2 linked regions of the Schizosaccharomyces pombe genome follow. The gene in region 2 interacts genetically with the main gene of each other region. Each region holds a gene or a part of one and is shown on either strand. Other genes may lie near its edges.

The links. Genes that interact genetically often act in the same process or in processes that back each other up.
Region 1: mutations in arv1 (region 2) and pof2 together harm fitness more than expected from each alone (negative genetic interaction), as found in Schizosaccharomyces pombe (one large-scale study listed by BioGRID).

What each region holds. Positions count from the first base shown.
Region 1 is NC_003423.3:2,615,268-2,621,834, reverse strand, and holds pof2 (F-box protein Pof2), read right to left. Parts: upstream 3,974-6,567; coding exon 2,783-3,973; exon of another isoform or gene 2,747-2,782; coding exon 2,607-2,746; exon of another isoform or gene 2,560-2,606; coding exon 2,499-2,559; 3' UTR 2,359-2,498; downstream 1-2,358. Other genes in the region: TATA-binding protein-associated factor Mot1, read left to right, coding at 1-2,131; SPOM_SPBC25B2.10 (Usp (universal stress protein) family protein), read right to left, coding at 4,391-5,314. UniProt on the Schizosaccharomyces pombe protein: Involved in substrate recognition in ubiquitin-dependent degradation.
Region 2 is NC_003424.3:1,888,721-1,896,107, reverse strand, and holds arv1 (Arv1-like family protein Arv1), read right to left. Parts: upstream 3,565-7,387; 5' UTR 3,555-3,564; coding exon 3,468-3,554; exon of another isoform or gene 3,183-3,467; coding exon 3,048-3,182; exon of another isoform or gene 2,993-3,047; coding exon 2,414-2,992; 3' UTR 2,262-2,413; downstream 1-2,261. Other genes in the region: sdh2 (succinate dehydrogenase iron-sulfur subunit protein), read right to left, coding at 1-644; pof15 (F-box protein), read right to left, coding at 4,457-5,188; SPOM_SPAPB1A10.13 (uncharacterized protein), read right to left, coding at 6,834-7,387. UniProt on the Schizosaccharomyces pombe protein: Mediator of sterol homeostasis involved in sterol uptake, trafficking and distribution into membranes. Also regulates the sphingolipid metabolism.

The DNA.
Region 1 (6,567 bases), on a different chromosome or scaffold from region 2:
TTTAGGAGATGCTAGTAGCACAATCCACAGACAAGGAGCTATTGAGTGCATATATCATGTTGTTCAACGTCTAGGAGTCCGTATCCTTCCCTACATACTTTACTTAATTATTCCCTTGTTAGGTCGAATGAGTGATGCTGACCAGGATGTACGTGTGCTAGCTACGACTTCCTTTGCAACACTTGTTAAATTAGTACCACTTGAAGCTGGACTTCCTGATCCGCCAGACTTGCCTCAATATCTACTTGATAGTCGTGAAAAGGAGCGCAAATTTTTAGAACAAATGCTGAATCCTTCTAAGGTCGAAGCATTCTCAATTCCTGTCCCCATCTCTGCTGATTTAAGGAAATATCAACAGGAAGGTGTTAATTGGCTGGCTTTCTTAAATAAGTATGAACTTCATGGGATTTTATGTGATGATATGGGGTTGGGTAAGACTTTGCAAACTATTTGTATAGTCGCAAGTGATCATTATAACCGCCAAAAATTATTTGAAGAATCAGGAAGTCCCAAGTTTGCTCACGTTCCTTCGTTGATAGTGTGTCCATCTACATTAGCCGGCCATTGGCAGCAAGAACTTAGTACTTATGCACCATTTTTGAAAGTGTCTGCATATGTAGGACCTCCAGCGGAAAGAGCAAAAATAAGATCAAAAATGAAGAAGTCCGATGTTGTTGTCACGTCTTATGACATATGTCGGAATGATGTGGATGAATTAGTAAAAATTGACTGGAACTACTGTGTTCTTGACGAGGGTCATGTTATAAAAAATGCACGAGCTAAGCTCACAAAAGCGGTTAAAAGTTTAAGGTCCTATCATCGACTAATTCTGTCAGGAACACCTATTCAAAACAATGTGCTAGAGCTTTGGTCTCTTTTTGATTTTCTAATGCCTGGGTTTTTGGGAACTGAAAAGACATTTCAAGAACGATTTGTTCGTCCTATCGCTGCTAGTCGTGATGCAAAAAGCTCATCGAAAGAGCGGGAAAGAGGCACTTTGGCACTCGAGGCTATCCATAAGCAAGTGCTTCCGTTTATGCTTAGGCGATTAAAAGAAGATGTTTTAGCAGATTTGCCCCCAAAGATAATACAAGATTATTATTGTGATATGAGCGATCTGCAAAGAAAGCTTCTTAATGATTTTGTATCTCAGTTGAACATCAATGAAGAGCTCGAAGATGATGAAACGGAAAAAACTCAAGGTACAAGAAAGAAGAAATCCCAGAAAGCTCATATTTTCCAGGCTTTGCAATACATGCGTAAACTTTGCAATCATCCTGCTTTGATTTTGACAGAGAAGCATCCAAAACGAAATGCCATTGTTAAGCAATTAGCTAAAGAAAATAGTGGTTTACATGACTTAAAGCATGCTCCAAAATTGACTGCACTTGGTCAATTGCTTCGAGATTGTGGCTTGGGTAATTCTTCAGTAAACTCGAATGGTATTGATAGTGCATTAACGAATGCAGTTAGTGAACATCGTGTGTTGATTTTCTGCCAGCTCAAAGACATGTTAGATATGGTTGAGAAAGATCTGTTGCAAGCTACTATGCCCGATGTTACTTACATGCGCCTTGATGGGTCAGTTGAGCCAACCAAGCGTCAAGAGGCTGTTACCAAATTCAATAATGATCCTTCAATAGATGTTCTTCTGTTAACGACTCATGTTGGTGGTCTTGGTCTTAATCTTACTGGTGCTGATACCGTTATTTTTGTTGAGCATGACTGGAATCCCATGCGAGATTTGCAGGCAATGGACAGAGCTCATCGTATTGGACAAAAAAAGGTGGTGAATGTGTATCGTTTAATCACTCGAGGATGTCTTGAGGAAAAAATAATGGGCCTTCAGAGGTTTAAAATGAACGTGGCATCAACGGTTGTTAATCAGCAAAATGCTGGTCTTTCTTCAATTGGAACCGATCAGATTTTAGACCTTTTTAACACTACTGCTGATGAACAACAAACTGTACAAAATATTGACAAAGAAGAATCGGAAGATGCGGCAGGTCGCGGTCTAAGTGGTACTTCTAAAAAGGCTCTTGAAGGGCTTCCAGAAATGTGGGATGAATCCCAATATGATGAATTTAATTTGGATGGTTTCATATCTACTTTACCCAAGGATGCTTCTTGAACAGGAGTTAGTATGGAACCCCCATAAAAAAAATTAATTATTAACTAATGTGAATGGTAATGCAATATGAAAGGTGTACAATAAAATAGGTTTTCTTTTAAGAAACTATGTTTAACTTATCTTTTGTAAGAGTGAGAGGTTTTTTTGATAATATGTAATAAATCTACTTTTTTGTACTTGTAAATATATAGCTACCATCTGCTGATTAGTTCAATCAAAAAAAAAAAAAAAAAAAAAAAAAAAAAAAAAAAAAAACCTTGCGGAGTAAATAACGTTTTTTATAAAATGTTTTATTATTGAATAGTTAAGGACAAGCACGCCATCATGTCAATTGAAGCCTTAAATGAAACTGTGAAAAGTTTGATTTCTATATTCTATTACGAATAAATTCTCGAAACAAATCAATCTCGACCTTAGTGAACGCACAGCTGTATATTAGTTAGTGACTATTAAGAGGTCAAAACCACAGACTTACAATACCGGGACTTGGGACGGGTTTATTCCATCTGGAATTGGACGGGAAAAAGATCGCAATTCTGTGCATAATATAGAGTTAATTCCAGTAACGCTAAGATGCTTTAACGTTTTACAGTTATACATCAAATAACTAACCGACTAATTTGGTTAGAAAAGATAGCATATTTTACATACCTTTGCGGTTAGTCCAATGCAATAAGAAAGATGTACTCGTTCAAGGTTTCTGGAAAAAGACCCACTTAGTAAGATTACAGAAAGGTCAGTAAGGCAAATGCATTTGACCAAACCTACTCTTTGAAGATATGGCAACTTAGCAATAGCACTTACTGCTATATCACTCAAACGAAGGCAACCACCGAAGTCAATGTAAGTTATATTTTTACATGACTTTAGAAGACATTGAACACCAATATCGGTTATCTCATAGCAATGTCCCAAATGAAGAGTCGTTAAAGATTGAGAAAGCTTTGTTAAGCTTAAAAGTGACGAATCAGTCAATCCAATGCATTTGGAAAGAAATAGAGAGTTTAATTTTGAGAACTTACAAGTTATCAATTCTATGTCACTGTCTTTCAAATCTGGTAAATTGTTAAGACTTAATGCCCTCATTGCATCTAATTCACAGTTTAAGTTTAAAAAAGTGATGAAATGTGACAATTCTGTGCAACCATCCATAGATAATTCTTTCAAACCTCGATTTCTGGAGACCAACCTAGACAGCGTATCCGCATTATGAAAGCCTTCACATCCACTAATATCTAATTCAATCAGGTCTTCTTTTTCAGAAAGTATTTGTAATGAGACGTCAGTCAGCTTTCGACAATTCGGTATAATGAGCCGATTTAAGTACGGACAACGTTTTATTATCTGAACCATACCGGTATCTTCTACTAACCCACAATTCCCAATATTCAAAGCTTTTAAATTAGGGCAATTATCAGAAATATATTCAAGTATATTCGCCGGTAAAGAGAAAATATTACTGAAGTTTATAGTAACCAAGTTCAAATTCTGATACAACAGTTTACCAATAAGAGGCTCGGAAATGCGAGTACATCCAGACAAATTCAGACGAGAAATCCCTGTTGCTAATGTCATTAACATTAAATGTTTATCGGTAAGAAATTTCCTAACACGAGAGCAATTCAGCTTGCGCAAATACCTGAAATAGTACGAAACATCCTTGGAGTATTGTAAAGTATCAAAAAAGTTATTTAATTGAGCTTCGTTTTGAAATACTACTTTTTCCCATAAAGTGGGTATAATAAAATTCCTCCATGAAGTACAAACTGTCGATTTGCACCTTAGCTCATCGGCTTCCAAATATGATAATATATTAAAACAAACTTCATTAGGCACCCGCATTGGTAAAGGTAAATTTTTTTTCTATAGGGAATAAATGAAAAATATGTGAGTTGGTAATAAAGCGTAAATTCTTAAAATGATAAATGGATGTAAACAAACAATTTTCATTTCAACTAAATTACGCAGCATAACGTACGCATGTTCCAAATTATCATAGTTAAATCCAGAGACAAACAAATTAATTGACATTAAGAAATCTCAAATACACGATAGATATACTCTAAACATTAAAATTCCGCACGCTTTAGCTTAGCGAACAAAAAAAATTAAAGCTTTATTTTTTTTGCTCTTTTTTAAAATAGACAATAAAGAAATCAATGTTCAACCGTTTTGCGAATAATTTATCAAACGCATTAAATATTACATGTCATAAAGCAAGTATTAATCATAAATTGGCAAGTTAGAGAACTATTCGTATTAGCGACCGCTTTTCTCTAAAATTTCCATATAGGACTTTCTCGTTTTGTCCTTAAGGCGCTTGTTTTTTGAACGAACTCGTTTTCGATCAGGTCGAACAACAATTACGGGAATGGGGCTTTTTTGTAAACAAAATTTGGAAACGCTTCCGCTAGAAAGAAGAGACTGAAAGCTATTTAAGGCTTTGCCACGAGTACCGACAATAAGACTATCAGGTGAATAAACGTGTATAGTACGAAGGATCATATCTTGAGGTTTACCAACCACGAGTTCAACTATTATAGAAACAGCTTTATCATCATCAACTTTCTTGAGTATGCCTGCCATGATATGTTCAGCTAAAGATCTGTAAGATTGTTCATCCGATAAATCCTCCGCTAGCTTGGAAGAAGGATCAATTACTCTTAATACTACTGCTTCATCGTTGTCGGCTAAAAGTGTTTCGAATAACCAATCGACTGCAACTTCAGAATACGAATTGCCATCCATGCCACACAAAAAAGTGCGAGACGTTCTTGTCCACTTGTAAGCTTGATGTTGTGTTTTCAGAGTCAGGGAAAAATCTGTAGCCGCTTTATTATTAAACGTATCGAACGAAATCCTTTTTAGAAAATGTGGACTCGGAGGTGGTGAAACAAGACTATGGGAACGTCCATGATGATATTCCTCAAATTGTGGAGGACAGAATCCAGCCGCCCGAGCAGGTGCCACTGTTACGGAATTTTTTGCAACAGGACGAAACGTTGGCTGTTCCATTGAGCTCCTGGCACTCCGAACCGGCGTAACAGGAGCAGAATGAGATGGTTTTTTAACATCGGTAGAAATGGATAACTTCTGCTGGTCTTTAGAAGTTCGTGGCTCAGGACGAGGGAGATTACCGAATGAAACTCCCTCCTTCGAACCAGCGGGTGCAGATTCACTCATCTAAACTTCTCACTTGATTAAATTTTGGGACTTTTAAACAATCAATTTCTCTGCACAATTTTGCAGACCCTGTACATGAAACAAGGTACTATATTCAACTCTAATTCGGAGTAAATGTTAAAAAATTGAAAGTGGTGCCTTAATTAAACTTGGGAAATTCGTTTATTATTTTCAAATGATATATTAGAAAACTTCTTTTTTCAAAACAAAATGCTTTTATTTGTATAAATATTTAAAAGTTACGATATTTCCTACAACGAAGAGTGAGCTGCCGGAAGTATGTATGTGGTGGACAAATAAGTGAAGTCATGTGTAACGGCCGCGTCAACCCTCCATTCTATTGTGCTAAGCTAATGCCCAAGATCTTAAAACTAACATTATGAGGAAACCAGTGGTGCTTGTTATACTAAATTTTAAACTGAATCAACGTAATTAAATTCTAGTTACTTGATTCTTTCGGTTACCAAATATGTAAGATATTTCCCAATTTATGGTTTGTAGCAGCTGATGAATGTGTATCGGTAATTAAGCTAAAACGTGAAAAAGGTGTTAATAAACATAGCCAGGTTTTTTGTGTAAGTTGTAAGCAATTATTTCTAATTGATAGATGGCTCTTCCTATAACTGCCTTTTCTAGTATTGCTCTGGCTCTGTGCACCGTCTATAATGCCACACAGTATTACCAAATTCCAAAACAATAAAAAAAAAACAATTTTTCAGTGAAAGCATACAATAGTCATGAACGAAATTGGGGCATTGACCATTTAAACCAGTTTGCATCGGTATTATTTGTTATATTAATAAAAAATAGTTACAATTTCTTCATTTTACTACTTTCATAAAGAAATTTTAAAAAATGTTTGGAATCTTAGCTTGCTCAAATGAAGTGTATGTGTAAAATCCAAATTTGTCATGTTGTAAAAATCTGTTAATTTTAAACTTGTTGCTACTAAAAACAACGTCTATGTAGACTAATGTTTGAATTGTCAAATGCGCGTACCTCTCGCCTCTTGAATACCTGAACGAGACCTTTAATTCGAATTTTTACCTACAAAATAGAAGCAACATTGCATAACGACTAGTTTAATATCAAGCAGTGAGCACTTTAACTTTTAAACATTTGGTGATGACCAATCTAATCCTCATATGATATTCAATCAACAATAAATTTATTTAGCCCCATAGACGCCTTCTATTACATGTTTTTGATACATCAATTCTTCAAACAATATAGACACATTCATTGGTTGAAGT
Region 2 (7,387 bases):
ATCAAAACTGCTGGGCCAAGATACTCTTCTGAGTTCCACCAGTAAGATGGACAAGAGGTAGAACAACAGGCACACAAAATACATTCATACAAACCGTCAAGCTTGGCACGGTCAGCGCGAGATTGGTAAAACTCCTTGTCTTTAGGGATGTTATCGTTTTGCAACCAGGGTTCAATACTCTTATATTGCTTATAAAAGTAGGTTAGGTCAGGTACGAGATCCTTTACGATGAAGCAATGAGGTAAGGGGTAAATTTTAGTAGGTTTGTTATCTTTTTTAATGTTACAGATGCAAGCCAAAGTATTACTGCCATTAATATTCATCGCACAAGACCCGCAAATACCTTCTCTGCATGAGCGACGGAACGTTAAGGTAGGATCTTGCTCATTTTTGATTTTAATAAGCGCATCCAAAACCATTGGTCCGCATTTTGTTAAGTCGACTGTATACTTTTGAAGCTTTGGCTTTACTTCTGGTTTCTCTGGGTTCCAGCGATAAATCTCGAAAGTTTTTAAATTTTCACCCTGTGACTGAGGATTAGCAGAAGTGGCAGATATGTTGGCCTCTGTAGCCATCATACGGGCATTTCTGTTAACAAAATGCTTCAAAAACGGGCTCAAAACTTGAATTCGACGGCTGAACATCTCGATATGTTTTGATTTTTAATATTGGCAGTTGGTAAGACTGGTAAAGGCGAGCGTTGTGGTTGGCTATTATAGATGGAAACAGAATCAATTTTATTGGCGGCAGAAAAATACATTAAATTTTTCACTCATATCCAAAATAAAACTTTTAAATATTTTTGTGTATTAAATTTAACAGTTTCTTCAAAAAAAAATCCCCCGTACATCTAAAACATGTATGGGGATCGCGTGTTTACTGGCCTGTCGTAGACAGCGTTAAATTATTTACGCGATAGGAAGTTGGCTAACGTATTACTCGCTTAAGTGCAGTTAGTCAAGATGGTCAAAGCGGTTTATCCAAACAAATTTAGTTAATTAATGTTTAAATACGCATACTTCGAGTTTTAATATTACTTCCGTAAAATAAATATTCAAAAAAAAAACCTATTTATTTGGTAGAACTGTATGACTTTAATCTCGTCTCTTTTCATATAAGGTGCTATTAACTGATTAATAAACCGGTAACCTAATAACCCTTGAGCCGAATTACTGCCAAATTTACAAAACAATCATGTAGATTAGAGTGAAAGGATAGACAGTATGAAAATATTAGAGTCATATTAAAAAATAAATACTTTCTGTAATTGATAATTTAATTAAAATAAAAAACAAAAGTCGAGAAATACAAGAAAATTACATGTTTGCCCTATTTTCAAATTAGGTTTTAATTTAGAGATTAGAAAAACATGGTTAATTATACGGAACTTATTTGCACAAAAACTTTTTACCGTTACAAATCTAATTCATTATACAACCCTCCGAAATCGGAAAGAATATTTTTCTGCTGCTTTTTAATAGGGCTACATCCAACTGAAGATTAGTCTGCCAACCTAATCTTCAAGTTTTCCATTCTTCACTAAAAGCTAATGTAACCTGTTATTAATTGATTTAACATACTAATTATAAAAAGCTGACATCTTAGCTACACACTAAATTATTATTATTATTATTTTTAAATTTTTTTAAAAGCACAAAATGCAGCACATGTAGCAAAACAACGCTATTTTTTTTTTTTGAATTGGGTTTAAAAAATAGTTTACTGTATTCAATCTCAACGGGTCTGATTGCATTTGCTTACAGTTCTATAAATTACTTACTTTCTAATTTTTATTTCATTTAAAACTTACTGAAATATTCATTCGCTTACTATGAGTTTATTTTACATTACGAGCTAAGACGGTGTTAGCTGACCTGGTTGCTTCTATAACTAAACAAATGTATAATGAACAAAGACTTATATACATATATTGATTAAATATTTAAAAAATATCGTAGCTGATAAAATTGTGATGGGTTCTTTAGCGACAGCAAAAGCAAACCTCTGAACTTTGTTATTAAAAAAATGCAACAAATTCCACTGGTAAGAAAAATATCTTCGAATGATCATTTGTTTAGTTATGCTCAGCAAAATAGTTTTACTTTTTTCAGTTTTTTGCCTTTTTTATTTCCTTGCAGTGTTTCCTCTATATAATTGTATCTATTACATATCTATATGCTTTGAGGGTGTAATTATTATTTTTATTTAGACCATTTCAAGTTTCATATTACAAGATTAGGAAATATGATTACTGGCTTCGGTTTCAATTGGTTCATCAAATTCATATTTTTTAAATATCAACAACTTATTAAAGAACTAATAATTGACCAGTTTCTTAAAACGGGTGATATAAAAACTTTTAATAACTGATACACTATGTCGATGCCGTATTGTTTCCCATTTCCTTTTGTCATTATACTGCAGTTTGCGCAGTTAAAGTGATTGAACGAAAGTATACACATAATAGATTTACAAAATGCTGAAACCCATCACAAGGAGTTGATGGTTGAATCTGTGAAAGTCCTGTTAAATGTAAAAAAATATAAACGACAATAGATCTCACGAGACTGGCAAAAAGAACGATTAAGCCAATTTTAAAATACCGCCGGCTTCCAGTTAATATACATAGCGCATCCACATTGCTAAACAAAACTACCCATTCTACGACGGTTGCCGCTATAGAAAGGTCGTAGTCCCAAATTACCATGAAAACGGGTAGCATTCTTGTGCTAGAAGAAAGTATTACAGCGCCAGACGCAGAAGTCCAAGATTTCCAACCCATTGTTAGGCATAATAACAGAACTACTGAAATTTGATACACAGTTGTCTCAACCAAACATATTAGCAGTAAAGTCAAGTACTGCCGGATAATTGGCTGGGAGAGAAATGCTTGGGCAGGTGTGAAGTAGGGGAAGAGGGCTGCGCGTTTTTCTAGTCGTGACCAAACTAAAAAAACGTTGAAAAGGGAAATTAATATGCAGAAATTGACAACCTTTGCGCATTTTGTCAGCTATTTAAAAAGCCATTGAAATGAATAAAATACTTACGTTACGAAATGTTCGTGCCGACAGAGAATTAAACAAAAGATGACGGTAAACTTGCGGTTTCATCAAAATTACATCCATGCTGATGAGAACAACATCTAATTCAATGTATTTGTCCGCAAACTGTTTGCAGTTTTTCTGTAACATAGTCGTTAGTTTGAAATTGTACTTAAAAAAAACTAAAGAACAAGTCGATCTTAACGATTACAGCAAGACTACGCATTCCACTCTCAGTATTCATTAAGCAAGATAAATGGAGACAAAAATTGAATGATCGTCATTTGCTTACAATAATGTAAATTATATTTGAAGAGAAAAATATTCATGAAGCTTCTTTTCGTCGCCGTTGGAATGGACTTGCCCTTAGCTCCTTACGATCAAGTTGACTACATCAACGAAACATATTGTGTGTATATTACTTACGCATTGAGCTAGTCGAATATTACTGGTACCCCTTCCATAATATGTGTATAAAGAATCGACTTCCGCGCCGCATTCGACGCATTTCATGGTGACGGGTGGTGGTGTCAATGTATTGAGGTATGTTTATGAACCAAACATTCGTATTCTTGGTTGACATGTAAAAACAATGAAGATATATAGAATTTAAAGAAAAAATGAAACAAGTAAGCTTATCTTTATTTGCATAGAAACATAAATACTAAAACTTATCCCAGAGTTCTACCAATTTTAAATTTTATTTGAACACTACCCAATTCCGTTAACAGACGAGTTGTAAAGCCAAAAAACCACCAATGTCAAACCTAAATTTTACAGTTCTTCAATAATATAAACAAATACTGCTTTCACTACATATTTAAAAGATTTGCGAAATAACCACGTCGATTCCAGCATAAAATCACTAACTCTCAAAACAATGCAGACTGACTGGAGCGAAAGAACGTAGTATAGACTTAGTCACATTTACAAGATTAAGCGTCTATTAAAAAGATTTTACAAAGGCTAAAATATTCGTAGAAATGAGAAACGTGAAAACAACATTCAATTGATTGAGCAATTTAAAAAAAGGTAGGTTTTTACTTTTCAGTACAACAAAAAAAAGTTTATTAGAAAAAAAATGTTAAGAAATAAATTTTGTACATGAAGCCAAATGCTGAATGAAATTAAAACAACGCTGAAAAAAAAAACCAGTCGACTGCGTAAAATGTATAAACGCATTTATTAAATGAGAAACCAGGATGTATTAACACAGCAAAACATACATCACAGGTAAATTAAATTTTTAATTAAAAGAATAATAAGTACAAAATGTCAAACAAAGAAGTCGTGAGCGACACAGGCTTGTCAAGCAACGAAAATAAACATTAAAAGAAAACGGAACGCAATCATGATTGTCTCATGAGAATTAAATAATAGAATATTAAACAATGCAGAATGGAAAAAGTTCTTTTTTAATGTACTCTTTTCTCGAGGCAAGATAAAAGGTACTCCGTTTGAACAATAACAGATGTAACAGAAAGATCATACTTTCCAGGAGCAGCATCAACTCTTGTAACAATTAGACCGATGACATGTTGAGTGTTTTGATCAAACCAAAGTGTTTCAGGTTGACCGGGTTTTATCGAATCAAGCCAATCCCGGCGGACACGAATAGGATCTTGAAAGCAAGAAAATATATCGGCTTGATGACGATCGCAGGAAGAACGAGACAAGGTAACGTGAATTCGAACATTGATATGGGGAGCAAGAAACTCCCCAGGGTATCGTTCAAAAGAAGCTAGATCCTCGTCGTCCTCAAAGGAGATTTGAAAAATAGAGGAGCAATTGTTAGGATCCAAGTGGAATACCGAATAACCATCATATTGTAAAGAATACAAACCGCGACGGGCAGACAAGTTGCAAATCGGTGAATCGGTATAGACATCCTTTGCAAAAACGCGAAGTGAATATTCGTCTAAGAAGGAAAGACGAGCACGAATGATCTTGTTGGCAATCAAAGTCAATGGATAACTGGCGAAGCTAGACTGGATAACGTCGTGTGCAGGTAAATACTGCATGACCGAGTCAATGACTTCTACTGGAAGCAGAGTAGAAGATGTTTGTTGAGCGTCGAAATTAACGTAGGAATTAGGTTGAAGGGCAGTCTGGGGTACAGACATGGGGGCTCTAGTAACACAGCTCATTTTTTACCAAACCAAAAAAAAAAAGGTAAGAAATAATTTAAAAAAAAAATCGGGCAATTAAGCTGAATAAATAAAGAGAATATAGCACCGATCGATGGAATGTGAATGAAATGAGATGATGGACGATTAACAAAACAAAATATTTCTATTTCGACCTATTCAAACCTCGATATGCGTTTCTATTATGAAGGAAAAAAGACAGTAAATTGTAAACAATTAAAGAATTAAAATGTCTAAACAAACAAGTAGCTCAAAAAGACGGAATTCCAAAATTAGTGAAAAAAGTAAATAAGCAAACTTCTTTTTCTAAAGCCAAGGAATGACTGTCAACGAGACTAGCAATGGGGAAACCTTGCAATTGAACGCTTTACGTCTCACAATACAAGCCTTGGTTTCTGCAGAATAGATGAAAGGAGATGCTCCTTTTTATAAACTAAAAATTTGGCCTTTTGCCTCCTCTCCCAACTGCCGATATCGTAATTAGAGTTGAAATAAAAATGTCCATTTTGAACCTTAAAGAACGAATGAACGAGCGCCAAGCAGTTATTCCATCAAACCGGATCAACTAAAAATGGCGCGAATGGATCTTGCTACTTTGAAGAGTGGAGATTGGTAAATAGTTAAGCGCAGGAAAAAGTTAGTTCATTCACTTGACCAACGAGTGCAGTATAAAGAAAAAACACTTTTCACTTTTCTTTAAACGACTTACGAAAATCATTTTTTTTTTTTTTTTTTGTTTTCAAACTTCTTGTTTTATTACCACCACCAACTTCTGCCAAATGTTCTGTACCACAAGTCCAGATCTGGATGATACAAAGACTCCTATTAAAAGCAGTTACTGCTCCACTCTACTGTTTTGACAGAAGGGGTTTTGCCTCAGGCCTCGTTACCAGGGAACTGCCGGTAAGGTCTTGGACAAAAAAAAAGCAATGCACTCATAAGGGTACTTGCGGAAAAACTCAAGTTACTGAAATCTATGGCAATGTAACAGCAACAATAACTACTCGTTATACAACAGTCCTGTAAACAAACCGCAGATGTAGTGGGCTACAGTACAACGTTAAAAAACAATGTCGAGTAGAGTTGTAAACAGCATTGCGCTAGTACTCAAGTAGGAGAAAGTAAAAGGATTATCAAGGCAATTAATTATAGGGAAAGAATGAGATGTACAATGCAACATTAGAATAACTAACTTAGAAAACAATGTACAAAACATAAAAATGAGAAGCACAAAAACATAAAACACTAGTACAACGTTAGAAGAATTGGATCCTATAGTGTCGTATAAAGGTAGAATGTTGTTCAAAAATGAATGTCGTGCGAAATAGAATAATATAGGAAGGAAGTTTTTAAGGAAAAAAAAATTAACAATAATTAAAGCAGAGCATAAATTAGGAGAATGCAGAACATACAATACAACAACAAAATAAAAATCAGCACCATCGACTTAGGAACGGTAGCCGAGTTTTGGTGCAGTCAATGTACATTTTCTACAATGTAGTATAAACGACTTTAACTATCAACGTGCGCACATTAGGGTAGAATTCTATCTAACATAAGCAAAGGCAATTCGGTTGACCCGTCCACCCATCCTTGTCTTCTAGTTCCATTAAGCAAACACATGCACGGCCGTAGACGGGTTCGCTCAATGTATAGACGTTCTGTATTCCTCCTTCCACCGTGCCAACAAAGCACGGCTGCAAGCAGGGCTGGGTTGAGAAAACCTCGTCAACTCGACGACCCGTGGAGCACCAGAAAACAAGGATTCCAAGGTAAAGGAGGGAGAAGAGTGTGTACTCGATTCTTTCGTAAACGATGCATGGATGGATGCTTGATTAGAAGGGGAAGTAGCAGGAGATGCATTTGCCGAACGTTGTTGACTAGACTTGATGCCTTGGTTAGTCCAAGATTCTTTGTTTTCGGTAGTTGGTGTTGAGCTCGAGGTAGCATCCGGTAGTGCAGGTTTTTCCGGCTCCACTGGTGATTCCTTGCTTAACGACTTTGTCCTTTCACTACCAGACACATTTCGTAACCCCACTCGATAATTGTTACCTGATCCAGTGCGTCGAGTAACAACCTTACTCTCTAAACTGGCGATGACCTCATTCACATTTGCCGATGGTGCAGCGGTCTGGAGGGGATCTGGGGAAATCACCGATGTGGAAGAGGTGGTGGGGGCTTGTTTTGATACAACATTAA